2 linked regions of the Macaca fascicularis genome follow. The protein of the gene in region 2 purifies or fractionates together with the protein of the main gene of each other region. This does not show direct contact. Links are inferred from orthologs where the notes say so. Each region holds a gene or a part of one and is shown on either strand. Other genes may lie near its edges.

Region 1 (3,013 bases), on a different chromosome or scaffold from region 2:
CTTCGGAAACACTATAGTCGGGTATGTTATGATGCTGGTGGTAATGTGTCTCCGAGCACCCTCAGGAGCTTATGTTTTCCTCCTTTCTTGCAGGACTCGGGTCAAGCTGGAAAGCCTGGAAGACGCCTACATTCTGCGGGGAGACGATGATTCCCTCTCCGACAAGCATGGCTGCCCGGCTTACGTAAGCCCAGAGATCTTGAACACCAGCGGCAGCTACTCGGGCAAAGCAGCCGACGTGTGGAGCCTGGGGGTGATGCTGTACACCATGTTGGTGGGGCGGTACCCTTTCCATGACATTGAACCCAGCTCCCTCTTCAGCAAGATCCGGCGTGGCCAGTTCAACATTCCAGAGACTCTGTCACCCAAGGCCAAGTGCCTCATCCGAAGCATTCTGCGGCGGGAGCCCTCGGAGCGGCTGACCTCGCAGGAAATTCTGGACCATCCTTGGTTTTCTACAGATTTTAGCGTCTCGAATTCAGGATATGGTGCTAAGGAAGTGTCTGACCAGTTGGTGCCGGACGTCAACATGGAAGAGAACTTGGACCCTTTCTTTAACTGAGCTCATGCCCCACAGAGACTTAGCAGGTACCAGGAGTGAGCGAGGGCAGCGGAAAGGAGTTCTTCCAGGGGACACGAATTGCCTGGCTGAGTAGCAAAAAAGACATTCACACTCTTAAGTTTCTTGGTTCAGAGAAGGATAACCTTCAAGGAGCTGACTGACCATGTAGCAAGGGGGCAAGAGGCGTGGGATGGGGGTTGGGGTGAGATGGATGGGAGCCCCCCGGAGCTTGTCTTCCCTAACATAGCCTGGGAGACCACCCCTTGCCACTTGGGTCACTTCCGCCTACCCCACTTTTCATTTTGTTCCAAAATAGTTGCAGATCCTCACAGAATGAAAACTCTCTGCCTCAAACACACATCCTGGCATCGCACTGTTAGCATTTAACTTCTTGTTAGGATTCAGGGAAGGAACAGTTGGCCAAGAATTTGTTTTTCTTTGAAACAAGCCAACCACCTAGCTGGTAATTAATGAGGTTCACTTAAAAAAAAAAAATTCGGTGCACACAGACTGACATGAAACCTGGGTGCTACACTAAAAGAAAACAAAAGTCCAGTTTGTGTCTCTTAATCGCTCACTTCAACTCATTTCTTCTAAATAAACTATTTAATATCCTGGTCAGGAAATGACATGTTAATGCTTTGCTCCCTGAAGGGGAAAAAAAATCTGTCCTTTAACAAGCTATTCTGTTTTGTGTCAATTGGTTCGTGGCAGGAAGCTATTAGAAGTCAAACGTCCAGATGCATTACTGCTATCTTAGTTTAAAGGGGGAAAGAAAAGGGAAGAAGAAAGGAAAAGAGAAATCCAACTCCTTTTTCATGTTTTGCTTTTGAACGATGAGGGTTTGTGTGACAGGCATTCCTCTTTGCTGAGGTGATAGCAATGGCCTGAGATTTTAGCAAGCTCCTGGAGTCTGACGCTTTTGCAGCACTCTGATCGCAACTAAACATTTGTCTTTGTTTTATTAGAAGCTAGTGAAACAAAGCAGGTTGTCCCACGTGTATAAAATACAGGGCAGCTATTTCGTTTTCTTTACGGAGAATGATCCTTTTGGCTTGTAAGGCCCTCTGGTTTGGACAAAAAACCCCAGTAGAGACGAGCGGGAAGGATAATTAGCTGGAAGCTATGATGATATAAATAAAAACAGCTCTCTATCCCAATACGCACCTTTGTATTTTCAAGAACTCTTCTATTTATTAAGGAAAATGTCACATTGTGATGTATTAAGCCAGTACTTCAATTACGGGTTGACTTGGGATGACATATTACATGCTGTAGTTAACATTTACGATTTTTTTTCCTTGTTTGAGTATTTCTGTCTCTGAAATAACCTTTTACTTGGCTTTTCTAGATAGCTTTATTTGATTTCGAGTGGCAAAATGTTTTTTATTATGGCTTTTCTATTGCTGTATGATACAGAACTCTTTTGGCATAAATATTTGTGTTCCCAGTACCTCACTTGTTTGGATTTGACTGCCTGTATATGTTTTGTGAAATGGTCCTGTTTTCGGGTAGGTGACACGTGGACTCTAGTATGTAAATGTTACTTGAATCTGTGCTTCATTATAGTGTGTGGCATGTATGTGCGGCCTCTTGGATGCTTTATGCCTGCGCAGCAGGAGCCCTGTCCTCACGTTCCCAGGAGGGCGGCTTCACCCTTCGTAACCAGGAGACAAGGCGGCCATGGATTTGCCCTTGATTCTATTTTGCTAATGGAAGATATAAAGGAGAGAAGGTTTTTTTTTTTTTAACATTCTGAAGATGGTGCTGTGTCAAGAAGGACGTTTTTTTCTTCCCTCTCCCCTATTTTTTAAGTACCTTGGAGGAGGAGAGATTGGTGACATGCATGGTGGGGATCTATGGCCTCTGGTGCTTTGTCCTGTATTTGGTTTAATGTTTTTGTCCTAATCTCTTCAATCAATAAAATTGTGCGTATTTAACTAAAATGTTAGAGTCTGGAAAATGATGATTTTTTTTTTTTTTTTTTTTTTTTTTTTGCCACCTGTGCTTTGTGATCACCACACACCAAGCAGAAGCTCACATCTTCTTCCAGGCATTTGCTCTTTCAGGGTGAGCCACTGCTACTAATTTAAGACACGGAATCTCCCTTTCATCATATCGGGGCATATGCTGTCCAATCTGGATGCAATAGCTCACACTGAATCGTTACAACAACTGTAGGTGACCTGACTTACGTTCCTAATACAGATTAGGAAATAAACCCAGAAATGTGCATGCCTTGTCCAAGGTTAAACAACTTGTAAGTGATAGGCCCAAGACTGGACCCCATGTCTGGTTAGCCACCAAGCTTGTTTACTCTTGCTACAATGTTAAGAGTCCCTATGTTCTTAGGGAGAGAGTAACAATAGCTCTGGAGTAATCAGGATTACATAGGGCACAAGTAATCCAGGCTTACACATGGTTTCCCTAGGAAAAGCCGTGTGCTGCAAA
Region 2 (3,522 bases):
AGAACTGCTTCACAATGGTGAATCAACGTGTTTAGCATTTCACCTGTATTTACATCCCACACTCTGGAAGCGACAGATGAGATTTAGATGGTACTCAAGCTACAGTCTGTTACCTATATTTGACCATCATGCACCCTTCCACCCCTTATATTTAGAGAGAGTGCCGGACCGGGAGAGTGGGAGAAGAAAGGGAATGGGATGCTGCCAGTGTGTCCTTAAGACATACTGCTTGAAATATGGGCAAGTTGTGGAGGGCAAGGATGAGGTGGCAGCCACTGTCACCTAATAATTTGGCCCAGACTGTAAAACTTCTGACATTCAATTGGATACCATTAGTAAGATACATTTTAAATGGGGAATCTGAATAATAACAGTAGCATTAGTGCCCATCCCAATGATAGCCCTCAGGAGCCAGAAATGACATAGGCTAAGATGCTTCTGTCACATACTTAGTAATGTGAATTTGAGTTTGATTACCCTGGATCTCAGGTTTTATCATAAAGGTCAAAGGCCAAGATAATCATGACTCTAATTCTAAGCCCCCATTTCTGTGTTTTGAAGTAGGCAGGGGTTTAAAACAGCCCCTGCATTGTAAATATGGGCTTCACAGCAGAGTGTGGGGTCCTGGGATAGCTTGAGAATTTTGTGTGATGATATATTTTGATTATTCTATTTTTGTTTATTTACTTTGGGTTTTATAACATGTTATTTCCTTTTTCCAGTTTAGCCCCCTTTTATAGAAAATCATCTTTTCTTTATAAATGATGTTAGCATCTACAGTGTTTCAGATTCTGTGGGGCACTCGCTCCACAAGCACCAATAAATGTTAAATGTCAGTAACTACAAGGACAAGTTTGCTATGCTTTTAAGTCAAAAGACAAAAAACAGGAACAGTCTTTTCTATTCACAGAGGATAACTTGGAATGGTAAACATTTAACTTCAGAGTATCTAACAATGCAGTTAACTGCTTTTTTCCTACGTCTATTTTTTTTAAAGTTACTTTTGATGCATTATGTTTGCTAAATCCTTTAGCTTAAGGCAAAATTCCTAACAGAGGTTCCCAGCAGTGCTGCTGGTACCCAGAACTCAAGCTATCCCAGACTCCAGCAGTATAATGGCTGTGTCATCAAATCACTAATGCCTCTGGAAATTGAGGGCCCCTCCCTGAGTGAAGCTCGCAATTAAAAACTGCAGGGATGGCAGGGGAGGGGCTGGCAAAGAGAGCACAGCTCACCTGTACATGTTTCAAAGGAGATAATACAGACCTGCACTACAGTTACAACTACCTGAAAGGAAGGCTTCATTGCATTCATGTCATTCCCTTGTGAGATGGCTTTTGTAAGGAATGCAAAGTTTACCATAAGGATAAGAAAAGTTTCTGTAATAGATGATCCTCCAAATTAATATAGAACGTGTAGTTTCTTAAATGTGTGAAAATGTAAACTTACCTCAAGCATTCCTAAATCAAGTTTTCTAGTTCTAGACTGACAGAAATGATGGGGACCTGGTGGTTTATTCTTCTTTAGTTTCAGAACTGTGCCGATACATACAAAATTACTATCTATGACAAAGAACAGAGTAGAGCTGATGTTTCAGAGTTCAAAAGAGCATATGAAATTTTCTACCTGACCGTGGAATCCGATGATCCAGTTATGATCACTCTCTCATCATACTGGAGACAGAGGACAGAACCCGTATGGCCTGTGAGAATTCGCTTGCATTCCAATGTGTTTTTATCCCAGATCTAGGATGGCAAATAAGATCCTTTTGATCAATGTGATGATGGGGTGCTGTGGAGACTTGTTGGTCTTATTATGTGTTTGATCCCCCAAATAATCAAAGCCCAGAGTAGTGTGGAAAGCATTCTTCCCTATGGGTATAGCTAAGCACACACCCACCCACCCACATATATATATATATATATATATATATATATATATATATATATATAGCTTCAGTACTATGCAAACTTTTATCCTTTTCATTAAGGAACAAGGTAGTTTATAATTATGTGAGGGCCAAAAGAGTAATAGCCCATTCAGTGCATTTCAAGAAGAGAATTTAACCCTAGGACTACCCATTTGTATAATATTCTGGGGGGAAGCAGATGTCTGTCCTTTAAGGAAATGATTTTGGCTTTGGAACTGGAAACAATCTAAAATCTTCACTTACTTTCTAGAAATAATGCTTAGAGTTTATGCTTTGGACTGTGCTAAGAATGTAGTCAGCCTCGCTCCCTCCGCTACCTTCCTACAACTGAACAGACCTCACCTTGATTGTGTTGTCTCGAAGGCCGCTTACTATTTTCTGATCATCATACTGTAAACAGTAAACTCCTTTGCTTGTTTCACTTCGGCAGTGAATTCTCTGTAAACTATGTCTTCCACATCTCCAGTTAGATTCTATTGTCTGAGAAGAAGGAATGGGAAAATGGCAGTGTTAGGAAACGCCTAGAATCAAACTCTTTTTGGGCTTTAATGACAAGCAAAGGCTCGATGCTTTACTCTATGGGATATACACAACTTAGGGAAAACTTAAAAATGTCTTTAAAAGGCTACTATCTACATTTATAAAATATTTTCCCTTTTGCAAAGTAATTAAAGTTTGTTTCCTAGAACTCCCCTGCCTATAATTTGTTCAATTAAATAATAAATCTAGTGGGAAGAGACTACTCATCAAGAGGAGAAAAGCTACAAACTATGTGAGGTTATACACTCAGTGCTCTTACATATGTGATGGCCATTGCTACTGATGAACTTCTATGGAGGTTCAATTCAGAAGATATTTGAGGACAAGTTTACCATTCACACTGCTATTGTATGAAGGGATCAATCTCTTTATCTCTCTCATCTATGTAATAGTAAACAATTTTTTAAAGCTTTAAAATTTTGCCTAGCAATTTATTTTACCTACCCTACTTGCCTGTAAAGAGACTGATTTTCTTTTCTTTTTCTTTTTTTTTTTTTTTGATGGAGTCTCACTCTGTCGTTCAGGCTGGAGTGCAGTGGCACGATCTCGGCTCACTGCAACACGTGCCTCCCAGGTTCAAGCAATTCTCCTACCTCAGGCTCCTGAGTAGCTGGAATTACAGGCGTGTGCCACCATGCCTGGCTAATTTTTATATTTTTAGTAGAGAAAGGGGTCTCACCATGTTAGCCAGGCTGGTCTCAAACTCCTGACCTCAGCCTCCAAAAGTGCTGGGATTACAGGCGTGAGCCACCACAGCCAGCTAAGAGATTGACTTGCAACTCATGTCAATAAACCTTAATGGGCTTGCTGTAACCATATTGTGACTGAAGAATGCTGATAATTCTGTGCCACTGGGCAAATACCCCAAAATACATAGATTCTTACCTCAATGTCTTGTATAATTTTAGGATAAAGTGCTCTATAAAAAGAGTTGGGAGGAGCATTCCCGTCAGGAGGTTTGTTTTTGAATAAATACTGTCCCCTAAAAAAATAACAAATATTTCCCAATGAAAATCATGACATTATATATTTATATACATATATATTTTGAG

The links.
Region 1: the proteins of BTRC (region 2) and TRIB2 purify together in Homo sapiens (affinity purification with western blotting; 3 studies listed by BioGRID and IntAct, with this or other methods). This does not show direct contact. The link is inferred for Macaca fascicularis from reciprocal best matches to the Homo sapiens genes BTRC and TRIB2.

Annotation. Positions count from the first base shown.
Region 1 is NC_088387.1:109,388,243-109,391,255, reverse strand, and holds the end of TRIB2 (tribbles homolog 2), read left to right. Parts: intron 1-93; coding exon 94-562; 3' UTR 563-2,508; downstream 2,509-3,013.
Region 2 is NC_088383.1:110,502,505-110,506,026, reverse strand, and holds part of BTRC (F-box/WD repeat-containing protein 1A), read right to left. Parts: intron 3,453-3,522; coding exon 3,356-3,452; intron 2,411-3,355; coding exon 2,273-2,410; intron 1,746-2,272; coding exon 1,627-1,745; intron 64-1,626; coding exon 1-63. UniProt on the Homo sapiens protein: Substrate recognition component of a SCF (SKP1-CUL1-F-box protein) E3 ubiquitin-protein ligase complex which mediates the ubiquitination and subsequent proteasomal degradation of target proteins. Recognizes and binds to phosphorylated target proteins.